Linked DNA regions of Sus scrofa. The protein of the gene in region 1 interacts with the protein of each later gene in a biochemical or structural test. Links are inferred from orthologs where the notes say so. Each region holds a gene or a part of one and is shown on either strand. Other genes may lie near its edges.

Region 1 (6,233 bases):
ACACATAGCATTGCACGATTTATGCATTCATTATACCAGTAATTCATTGTGCCACGACCCACATGTATAGTTGGTTCCTCTTAGAACCACTAGGGGGCTCTGCTGGAAGGGTTTTACAGCTTATGTTAGTCCCTTCAGGGAAATTTTCCCAGATGTTTTAGAATAATGAACTCTTAAAACTTGAGAGAGATCATCTTATCCAGCTTCCTTATTCTGCAAAATAGGAAACCAAGGTTGGCCAAGAGAGCTGAAATGGAGGAGAGCTGGAATTAAAAATCCCTTCTTGGTTCCCGTGGCAGTAGTTCAATAAGTTCATTTTTGCCAAGTGCCTCCGTGAGTGGTTCACTCCAAGTGCTTACTTTCTTTTTCAGTGCCACAATTTCAGTAATTTTTGCTGAGACGGTGATTTCGTGATATTCTTCTAATAGGATACTTTACTGATTGGTTAAAGTATCCTATTAGAAACATAGTGAAAGAAGTGACTTTAATATAACTTCTAAATAAACATAATTACTTATTACAAAATGTTTTCTATTCAAAGCACCTCTCAGCATCAAAACCATATTACCTAGGAGTTCCTTTGTGCTGCAGTGGGTTAAGGGTCTGGCCTTGTCACTGCAGCGGCTTGGGTCACAGTTATGTCGAGGGTTCGATCTCTGGTCCAGGAACTTACAAATGCCGCAGGCTCGGCCAAAAGAAAAAAACACTCAAAACCCCCCCAAATCCACAACCATATTACTTATTGGAAACTTTAGCAACCGCTTTCAAATTTACTTTCCATTTAAAACATTTTAGTCTTATCGTTACTCATTTATTCATTCAATATTTATTAAGGGCCTTAATAGGCACCAGGCACAGTTGTAGATCCTAGGTTTAAGTAAGTAAAGCTGCCCTTCTCGCCCAAGAAACATCTACTACTCCATTTTTCACTTTAATATATAAACTATTTTCACATGTTCAGTGGTTCCCACTGTGTGGCTCCAGAAGCAGCGGCAGGAGCAGCTGCATCTGGGAACTTGTTACAAATGCAAATTATTAGGCCCACCCTATACTCTAGGAATGGGGCCCAGCAATCCGTTTTCTTTTTATTTTTTAACAAGTTATTCAGGGATCCTAATGTACATTCGAGTTCCAAAACTATGGTTTTAGTTCCAGGGCTTGGTATTAATTACCTAAGCAGGTCAAAGATCAACACCTGGCTTCTAAATTCCATGGAGTACTGGTCTCAAATAAAATTGATGAGACCCATACTTAACTTTATAATTTGTTGTACCTGTTAAGATCCTGGAATGATCGTAGTAATAGCAGCACCGTAAGAGCTTCATAACAAAAATGAACCTCAGTGCATTTGCCGGGCCTACACCAAGAAAAAATAGGCCAGACTGAATTCCAGGACAGTGTTTTCAGACACTAAACACAGGCAGGCACACTAAGCCTGTGGGTTCTGGGTCTGGCTGAGTCAGGGCGGCGCTCCAAACCGAGTGGAGCCGCGTGAACCCGTCAGGCTGGACTCGAACCTTCGGTTACAGGCCACGGTCTGGAAGCCTGGACCATACACCTGGTTCGAAGAGGGGCAGAGACGCCTGAGAGGACCGAGGAGGCCGGGGCAGCGCTGACCAGCGCGGAAGCCGCACCCTCCAGGCCTCAGACGCCGGCAGGGCGGAGCCACGCGGCCGCAGCTCGGGCAGAGACGCGCGGCGCGGGGCGGCGCGGCGCGGGTTCGCAGCTGAGGCGTATGGGGCTACAACGGGAGCGGCTGCGCCGCCCGGTCAGGTCAGCGTCGTGCGCAGGCGCGGACCTGGCGCCATTTTGGTGGCCGGGCGCGGAGGTGATTCCACACTGAGGAGAGCGCGGCGGCCGGAGTGGCAGTGGCAGCGTTCGTGTGCTCTGGTGTGAATCGCCGAGGGAGGAGGCGGTGGAGGAAGAGGTGGCGGCGGTGGCGGTGGTCGTAGCGGTGGCGGAGGAGGCGGGTACGAATCAGCTGCGGGCGGAGACATGGCCAACATCGCGGTGCAGCGAATCAAGCGGGAGTTCAAGGAGGTGCTGAAGAGCGAGGAGGTCAGAAATGAACTCCCGAACGTCCCCCACCTCAGCCCATGGCGGGAGGGTCCTTCCACTGGCGTCCCCAATATCCCTAGTAACGCCCGAGTGGCCCTCTTTGCGGCCGCCCTTCTGCCTGTGGGGAAGCAGCAGTCTCCCCCTCCTTCCGCCGCCTTCCCCTCCCCTTCCAGGGCCCTGGGATGGACGGTCTCGCGGGCGGGTGATCTGGAGAGGAATCAGATTGGGGGGGGCAGATGGAGAAGGGGGCGCTTAGACGCGGGGTGTGAGCTCTTGAAAGAGCCCCTAGATAGTGGCAACAGCTGGAAGTGTGGTTGTAGGGTGGGGAGTGAGCAGGCCGAGCCTGAGAAAACCCGGGAAGTAGGTTGGGGGAAGGGGAAAGGTGGTAACTGGATCCCGAGAGCTGCGCTGCTCAAAGGCCCTCACTTTTAAGGGTATTCTGGGTTGTAGCCGATCTGGCCGCCGCTGTCCTTTCCTTAGGGAAGGAGCGATGAGAGTTCCTAGGTATTGATGAAAGAAGGCCGTTCAGAGTTACTCCCTTTTAGTTGGGTGTTGGAAGAGAGAGCAAGACATAATGGGGTACTGTCTATATTGTTTAAGTGGGGGATAAGGGCATTGCCACTTGAGATAGGAAATTAATTCCATGTTAGAGAATTATCTCATTTCCACTTACCCCCAAATCCTAGGCCTCTTTTTTGTAGGCACCTAAAGCTTTTTGACTAGGTAAAGGCAGGTTGTTTGGTGTGTTAAAGACATTTAAATATTTATAGCTGGGATTAGGACATATAATGGAGTGTATGAGTAGCTTATTTTAAAATGTTTACAAGTTACAGATCAGAGTCTGTTTTAAGACATTGCCTCTGTGACACTGCTGTGTTGTGCCATGAAACTTCATTATGATGTCCCTCATAGTTAACTTGATTCTTACTATTGAAAAACAGTGCTATTAAAAAAAACATGAGGTTTCAGCAGATTAATACATTGTTATATCTCCTTATTAAACATGACATTTCAGCAGATTAATAAATACATTGTTATATCTCCTTATCCCAACATCTATCTGAAAGGATTAAAAAGTTTTTTTGTCTCAAGCTCCTCTTGAGTCCTGTAGAACACTCTAGTGTTGGCCACATTTATTAATATGTTTTAAATGTTTTAGTAATTTAGTAATTTGACTCAATTATGAATCAGTGTAATTTTTCATACCCAAATCAACGAGAATGCTAGGTTGTTTTTCCTTGTTGGATTCAACAAAGAAAGATTGAGCATATTGAATGGTTATTTTCAAAATATCACACACCATTATTGAAAGTATCATTACTATATGTGTTTTTCTCTTATATCAATACTTTGACGAGCTCAGTGATTTGTGAAATTTAGCATTCTAAGTATGTGATGAATTCTGGATATAAGTCTGATAGCACTTGAACTATATTTGTGCCACCGAGTCTTTCCAATTAGACTTGCAGAAAATTCTTTAAAATTACTAAAAAATGCCAAACACCAGCAGATTTATTGAATGTAATAGTTATGTGAGTAATAATTGGTTTTACCGAGCATGTGTATGAACTCTGACCTCTGTATTTGTTCAGGTGCCAAAACTCTGAATGGAAGGATGACTTTGTATTTTTGTGGTACATTGTAGAAATAGAGTCATAAATGCTTGTACTGACAATACAATGAAACAATGATTCTAAATTCTTGTTTAATAAGAAAATATATTCCAGGATAGTTGACATATATATTCCTAATAGAAGATTGCGGGTAATATTGCTAGTAGCCTAAAACATTTCTCTAATATGGTTGTACAAGCCTGAAATATAAGATTTTAACGCTTTATTTTCTGTTACTTAAAAGTGGTAAGTACTGTTCTCGTAATTCATATGATCTGATTGCATATTGTGAGGTGACTTTTCACAATATTCTTAGTACTTAAATTGAAGCTTAAAAGAAATCTTGTATTGCTTTAGTAATGCATATTGTTAAAATTACATGTAAGGGATGATGAAATCTTGCTGTCAAGTAAGTGTTTCAGAGGAAGAAAGTAGAAAATACAAACATTTTATTTTTTTAACAAGAGTGCCTTTATAAATCTGAAAGGAAACATCTTCCAGAAAGTAAGTTGCAAAGAACATTTAGAAAAGGGTCAGGTAATTTAATTTTGGAATATAACCAATAAATAGTTTTATTTTCACCAATATTTTATTTCATTGATATTTTAATAAGCCCAGTTCTATAATTGGATTATATTATTTTCAACTCATTGAAGAACTTATAATACAGTCCATGTATTTCTTTTTTAATGTATGTAAAGGCAATATTTGAATGGCTTGTCAGATAGTCAAGTATTTCCTCATGTCACCTATGTAAATCTTCATTTTACTAAAGTTTATTTCATATGGTTGTGCTTACTAGGAATGGTTTAAGGACTCCTCTCCAACCCCGCGCCTTTTTAAGTGCCTTTGTGAAAAGATAACTGACATTTGCTGAATTCTGGCTCTAAGAAGTTGTAAGTGGCCATTCTTGGAGTGTGTTGTTAAAATATAGCCTCCCAGATCAGTGTGAAAAGCACAGTGCAGAATAGTGGGAGGAGGCCACCATTTCTGGGGAGATACGTGTATTTGTTTGTATAGGTGAAAGGATTAATGAGAAATTGGTAGTGTTGATTGCTTCTGGGTGGGGGACTTGGGTGTCCCGGGCAACTGGCATCAGAAGATCCCTCTTAGGAGTTCCTCTGTGGCTCAGCAGGTTAAGGATCCAGCATTGTCACTGCAGTGGCTGGATTGCTGCTGTGGCATGGGTTCAGTCCCTGGCCCAGGAACTTCTGCATGCCACAGGTGTGGCCAAAAAAAAAAAAAAAAAAGATCCTGGAGTTCCTTTTGTGGCTCATCAGAACCGAATCTGACGAGCATCCCTGAAGATGCAGGTTCGATCCTTGGCCTCGCTCAGTGGGTTAAGGATCTGGCATTGCCATCAGCTGTGGTGTAGGATCCCAGGCTCTGATCTGGTGTTGCTGTGGCTGTGATGTAGGCCGGTAACTGTAGCTCTCATTTGACCCCTAGCCTGGGAACTTCCATATGCTTCAGGTATGGGACTAAAACGACCGAAAAAACTGGAGCCTGATTTGTATTACTGATTAAAGGATTTAAACACAACCTAACTTGTTAGTTTAAGCATTAAAATAAATGTTACGTGTAATTAAAATTTTGCTTGCATTTCAATATGCAAAATACTTTTAAGAGTTCCTGTTGTGGCACAGTGGGTTAAAGGATCTAGCATTGCTGCAGCTGTGGCATAGGTTGCAGTTGCAGCTCCAATTCAGTTCCTGGCTTGGGAACTTCCTATGCCACGGGTGCGGCCATTAAAACAAACCCCCAAATATTTTTAAATTCAAAGCTCAGTGAAATAGGCGTTCCCTTCGTGGCTCAGCGGAAGCGAATCTGACTGACTAGTATCCGTAAGGATACATCTTCAGTCCCTGGCTTCTCTCAGTGGGTTAAGGATCCAGCATTGCTGTGAGCTCTGGTATAGGTCACAGACATGGCTCAGATCTTGTGTTGCCATGGCCGTGACATAGGCCAGTGACTACAGTTCCAATTCCAGTTCGACCCCTAGCCTGGGAACCTCCATATGCCGTGGGTGCAGCTCTAAAAAGACCAAAAAAAAAAAAAGGCTCAGTGAAGTAAAACACCCTTAAATCAGTGTACATACTTTTTTGCTTGTTCTTGTGTATGGTACCTGCAGGTTTTTTTCATATTGTAGCTTCGCTTTGCTACATTTCTAGGATCCTCAAGGAGTATTTAAATCAACGGCATTAACAAATTGATTTTTTGAAAACTACTATTGTATAAGTTTTTCTTAAGCATTTTAATGGATTTTTGTATTGTTATTTTACGTTTTATATATTTGATCTAGATTATTCTGTATAGAACTAGTTGCAGATCTTCAGAAGAAAGTCTCTTGGTTTCTGTAGACCATGGTTTTTCCAACCTTGGCACTATTGACATTTGGGGCATATAATGAATTCTTTGTTGTGGGTGGTTCTCCTGTGCATTGTAGGATGTTTAGCAGTATCTCTGACTAATAGCATTAGATGCCAGTAGCACAGCCAGTCTTTCCCCCACCTCCTTACTCTCTTCCTGTCAATTGTATTGACTAAAAATGTCTCCAGACTT
Region 2 (6,217 bases), on another chromosome or scaffold:
GGTCACCTTAGATGTAATTTACACTAACGGGAACTTTGGTCAATAAAAAAAGAAAACTAATTAAGAGTTAAATCCTTTCTTCATACAGTCAATGGAAAGCAAGAGGAAAGAGACCATTTTTCATGCCAGAAAAATATAAAAACACTGAACACAAATATCTCCTTTCCCCCACAGAAAGTGTCACATTCATCACATCCAAACATAATAGCAGTTCAACACATAGTTGTAAAATTACTGTAAGAGGCCCACAAATCCACATACACTCCACGCACTGTCTACAGATATATGTCTCACACATATGCAGGTGCTTTACAACTAATGAAATTAGAACCTTGGGTTGAAGCAATAAAATACGAGAACATCTATAGCAAAAATAAGCATATATTTCAGGAGCAAAACCACAAATTCACAAATATATTCCCCAATCCTTCAAAATTACTAAAATTTTAATATCTAAAATGAATTGCTTGATTATCTGGGAAACCTCCATATTCAAGGTTGAGAAAAAATAACAAAGGAAAAAACAGATACAGAAGTATTATTGCTTTCTTACACTGGTTATCAAAATATCAAAGGATAATATAAACCAGACACTTTTTGAAATCAGTGAGCCATAAGATTTTGGAAATGTCTGTGTTACACAGAATTGTTAAGGAATTGAGCTTACAAAGGAAAAACACATCCCAGTCCTAGGTAGTGGTCCAAAATTCTAGCACCTCATTGGTTTGGATTTGACTAATGACTTTTCACTTTGATTTGTTATCCACTCTATGGTAAATCAAGGGAACAAAAGGTTGGTGAATGGTTTGTGGAAGCTATTTCCCAATTGGCTAGAGTCATGGAAAAAGTAATACACACATTATAATTCCATAAATGCGGATGTCCCATTTGATCTACTGTATTATTTAAAGCCTCACTATATGTTCACTAACCTGAAAGAATATATCCAACCAGCATAACATTTCTAGATTATCATTCCATTGTTAAGCTATTTCTTAAAGCCATTTGATTTTAAATTGTTTATCAAATTATATCAAAAGCAGTAATAGCTGAAAAAGGAACCCTGCCAGACGAAAAGAGGGTGTAACTGCTAAGTAGGTCTCACCTGCTTCATAAAGCAAATTTCCTTTAAGTGTTAACAAAAGTTTTTGATGCAACATAACCTACAGGTTTTTTTTAAATCACAACCTTTCATTTTCTTTGCATTTCCAATATCATCAGATAACAATTAAATCTAGAGATATAAGAGTTTAGTGACTTTGGCATATGACAGACCTGAGTTAAAATGGGGGCTCTACCACTTATTAGCTACTTAATTGAGGACAAATTACCTAATCTCTAAGTCTCAGTTACCTCTGTAAAATAGGTAATATTCTCATGAAGCCTCACTGTAAGGATTACCAAATCATGCATGTGAAGCACAGAACCTAGTATATAAGTAGTCAGTACAAATTAGTTATGAGTCTAGGCTAACTACTCATACCAGGTTGCCTGGAAAAATCCAGGTTTGCAACTGTTGTCCAGGCATAATTATTAATAATGTCCCTTTTGCTCTTAAAAACATCCTAGTTAGGGCAATAAATTATGCAGTTACCTTAATGATGATGAAAGGAGTTAATACTAATTAAAGTACTATATATCAATTATGACTTTGGGTATCTCAAAGGAAAAAAATCGAATACCACACAAAATATGAGATTATATTCTTGTAATATAGTCTGATGGTTCATTTAATTATTCAATAAACATTCAAACACTATTTATTTGTACACATCCCATTCCAACACTGATTTAAGGCAGTAAGTTTCTATCTCGTTCTTTCTCTTCTATACAGGTATTGGTAAACCTCACACATTATTTTAAAAGATGAAAATTCAGATAGAGCACTAGTGAGTTTCAGCTACTCAGGAACACTACTCTTTGAATACCCAGTGAAAAACACTCATTCTGATTATGAAGAATGCCCAACACCAACTAACATGTATCAAATAAGCCCATCCAATTACAGGGCCTGCAAAACAGAATAAATTATTTTTAAACATGCATTCTACACATAAATTATCAGGAGACGCAACAAAAAATAAATTACCTGACTGTTATGACATAGTATTGTAATACAATAAACTGGATTTTAGTTTTCTTCACTCTCTGCTCTAGAAAAAAAAAGAATCCATTATTCTTCCTCTTTGATAAGATAGACATTTTCTTTGAAACAGACACATCCTAAAAAATACATATTCTATATATTTTTAGATACACACACATACATACATACACATACCATAACCCAACCTAATTCAACATCAATATTAGGATATTTGGGGAGACTGAGGTCAGAGGGATATGTTAGATATAAGACTTCCTTTAAAGGTTGAGAGCCAATCTACATTTGATATAAACTTGATTAAAATAGGCTTTTCCTTATCATAACAGTAATTATTTTCGGATACTCATGGTTACTTTCAAGAACTTATTTGGCACACTACACTAGCCTAAGGTAGAAACTAAAGTATGAAAGATTATCCGGACATCTTAGGCTAAAGAATGAAGCATTTTTTTCAGTAAAAGAGTATACTAAATGAAATTTTAAAAAAATTTTAGATTAGTCTTCCTGGGCACTTTATTTTTACAACTTAGAAAACTGATTTTTGGAGAGCGTTAACTGTGCCTGCCTGCTCTCAAGTCATCCAGGACGGACATAATGTACCTGATGGGGTGATATGAGTGTTCTTTAATCACAAAGAATCAAAGAAATGATTTGTAGTAGTACGTTTATTTCTTCCTCCCTTCAATCATCCAAAGCCACTGCGGTTAATTCTGATTCAGGAAATGCGGGCTCCTTATATCCAGCAAAAAATTACTATGGGGCCTTGCAAATAATGGATCACAATGTGATATAAATGCTTCCTCTTGCCCCAAAACGAAAGAATGACCTAAATAAGAAGCCTGCTAGGCCTCAGATTCTCGGACTAACCTGTGGAATAAGTATGGTGAAACTGTCTAGGGAAGGAACGTGGCTGTCTCCTCCATCTTGAAATTAATCAGCATAAGGGAAAAAGGGACTGAGCATTCAGGAAGCAGAAGCCCAACCGGTTAATACTAGTTACTAAAGCTATGGCGTACGTGGCAGGTACCGCCCGCAGAAGCCGAGACCCTTAGGCCTCTTTTTTTTGGGGGGGGGAGGGGTTGAGTTGTTGGCGGATCGAAAGGAAATTAACTTCAAAATCATTTGGCCCAATTCCCACACTCACTCAGGGAAAAACAACAAACACGCAACGGCTTTTCCCTCCCTTTTGGGGGGAATGCTTGCAGTGATATCTGGCAAAGGATACGCCAGGGTTATTTGAGCAAAGGAGTAAACCACATTTGCTTCAGATCCTCAGGGAAGATGGCATCACGGCCCCAGGGGGCGTCTAATTGATAGTGCCCTACAGAAGGGCTCAAAATGGGGTTTTGCAAATCCTGAGAAATCTAAAGGCCCAAGAGCTCTCACATCTAACTTAGAGCAGGCTGATTTTTTGCCCCCATTTCCTAAATCCAAGCCCGCCATGTAAAAGGGAGGGGGGGAAAGAGGCGAGGTAAGTCTCCAGAGGACCGAAGAGAGAAAAACCTGAGACGATCAAAGATTTTCACGCCTAAGGCCAACACTCGAAAATCGCCTCCCCCAAATTCTTAAGGTTCTGAAGGGCTCAGGCTGAGGCTCGCGAGGCCACGGAGAGGAAGTACTACCCATCTCCTTCCCCTTCTTCAAAGAGCCGGTTGACTATACACCCAACTAAAATGGCAGCGGCGACTACGCCACGGAGCCCCCCACTGCAACCGGCGCCTGGGGTCCGCAGGCGGCGCTGACCCTCCGCCACGATGCGCCACTCAGACCATTTTGAGAGAACGCGGCAGTCACAGCTCCGCTGTCTTCTCGCTCTCCATCCATTTCTCGGAGGACTCACTTACTCGATTTTAGTGTCGTGATCCGACTCGGTCGGTTCGGCCGCCGCCGCCGCCGCCGCCGCCGCCGCCGCCGCCCCGCCGCCCCGCCGCCGCCGCCGCCGGGGCTCCTGGGCGCCTCCCCTGCCGCCGCTCTCAAGCCCGCCTCCGATGAGTCGCTGGTTGAGACCCGCCTCTAACCCAGCGCCTGCTCGCAGACGTTGCTCAGGCAGCCATTATCTTCCCCATTGTTACCAAGCAGCGACAGGAAACGCCCGCCCACAACAGGAAGTGATGATGCCGCGTCTAGCCCCGCAGCCCCACTCCCAGCCTGTTAGCCAATCCCCGGCGATTCCTCGAAAAGGCTCGGTGGGAGGAGGAGAGGGACCGCTGACGACGCGGCAAGGCGGGCCACCGCCTGGAAAAGGAAAGCTGCTGTGACGCCCACCATGTGACAAGCCACACCCTCCTCCGCCATTTTGAATTGTGGCGAGAAATTCACGTTCTGAGAATTGTGGGAACCTTTGCTTTCCCATTTTGAAAGCTGGAGGACGTCACCATCTGATTGCTGGAAGCCCTTTTCCGAGAGTGAGAAATGTGGTGTTAGTCTAACCTGACGTCGATTCACAGAATTAGTCCGGGCCTGTTAATACAGCGTCCTACTTTTATTCGACATATATTTATCGAGCGTAAACTGTGTCAAGCACTGTTAGAGATGTTGGGATACAGCGGAAATTAAAGCAGGCCAAAATCCCAGTTTTCGTGGGTCTACTTGGGGAAGGGACAATAGTTACTATATATGTATATGTTACATATGTATAAATGCTAAGGAGAAAAAGCGAGGGACAGTGGTGGGAGAGTGTCACGACAAACAGGAATTTGCGGTTTTAAAAAGAGTGGTCAGAGGTGGCCTCGGATGGTAATTCTGAAATACTTGAAAGGGGGCGGTAATTGTAAAAGGGTGGGAAAATCTGATAACGTTGGAATTTAAGGGCGGTTAAGGAAAGACTTTTCTTGGATACTAATGCCTGAATTGGAATCTAGGGAATAAACTATCCCGCTTCCAACTCCCGCTTTCACAGTTAAAAACAACCGTACCCAGGTCTTTAGGGTGTTTCCATGTTTCTTGTCCCATTTTTCTGTTTTCTTTGTTTTCAGGTAACACTCCAGCTACACTGGCTTTCTCACTACTCTTCCAGCAAACTAAACTTGTTCCGACCTCTACAACTTTATATAGGCTGGAATTTTTCCCTTAATATCTTTGCTCTCATCATCCGAGCCTTTTCTCAATTGTCATTTCCCTAGGGGACACTTCCTTAACCACCCCACCTGAAATTACAACTTCCCTTACCTGCTAAATTTTCTTTAAAGCATTTTGAAATAAATATTTGAAAATATTTGTTTACCTCAACCATTTAAGAACAGTAAACCCCTTTGTTTTGTTCACTGTTTATATCCCCAGTGAGCTCATAGTAGCCCTCAAATATTTTTTGAGACCGTACAGGCCTCAGCATGATGGCCATTTCATCAGCCAGGAATATAAGTGTATTTCACTCCAAGCAGTTAACAACAATATCCCTCATACTTCCCTGCTCAACTTTTCAACAGTCTTGATATTGTCATTTTTAACAGTAGAGGAATATAATTTAGGTGCTGTGTCTCTACTCAGCTTTTGTCTTATGTTCTATAATCATACAATAGAACTTTTACCTAGAATGTGTAAAATGAATTCTTCAGTGGCCAGCAATTGCTCCTAACCTGATACTCAGATTATGGCAGTAGCATTAACCTCTCCTTGACATATTCTTAAGGCAAATGTGTCTTAATGTAAAATATAAAATCATAAAAGAAGTAGAAGAAAATGGAGTTCCCTGGTGACTCAGCAGGTTGAGGAACAAGCGTTGTCATTGTTGTGGTTAGGATTCAATCCCTGGACCAGGGACTTGTGCATGCTGTGTGTGCAGCAAAAAAAAAAAAAAAAAAGTAGAAGAAAACGTAAGTGAATATGTCCATAGTTCTTTGGGGACGTGGAAGGACTTTCTTAGGCATGACACAAAATCCATAAGAGGAATTTCTGTCAAATAGAACTTCATAAAAAAAGTAAAGCTTCTGAATGTCAAAACACAAGGTTAATAAAATTAAAAGGCAAATAATAAACTGAAAAAAAATTTCAGCATGACATATGACAGCTAAGGGGTAGTTCTGGTTTATAATAACATTAAAATAAATGACAAATTGGTGAAAATGCTACATATATGATAACATGATAAGCATGTATGGCTAATATCACTAC

The links. The genes of interacting proteins can lie anywhere in the genome.
Region 2: the proteins of UBE2K (region 1) and RLIM form a complex in vitro, tested with the Homo sapiens proteins (2 studies listed by BioGRID). The link is inferred for Sus scrofa from reciprocal best matches to the Homo sapiens genes UBE2K and RLIM.

What each region holds. Positions count from the first base shown.
Region 1 is NC_010450.4:30,885,999-30,892,231, forward strand, and holds the start of UBE2K (ubiquitin-conjugating enzyme E2 K), read left to right. Parts: upstream 1-1,995; coding exon 1,996-2,058; intron 2,059-6,233. UniProt on the Homo sapiens protein: Accepts ubiquitin from the E1 complex and catalyzes its covalent attachment to other proteins. In vitro, in the presence or in the absence of BRCA1-BARD1 E3 ubiquitin-protein ligase complex, catalyzes the synthesis of 'Lys-48'-linked polyubiquitin chains.
Region 2 is NC_010461.5:59,916,162-59,922,378, forward strand, and holds the start of RLIM (E3 ubiquitin-protein ligase RLIM), read right to left. Parts: upstream 4,304-6,217; 5' UTR 3,952-4,303; intron 2,154-3,951; exon of another isoform or gene 2,090-2,153; intron 1-2,089. UniProt on the Homo sapiens protein: E3 ubiquitin-protein ligase.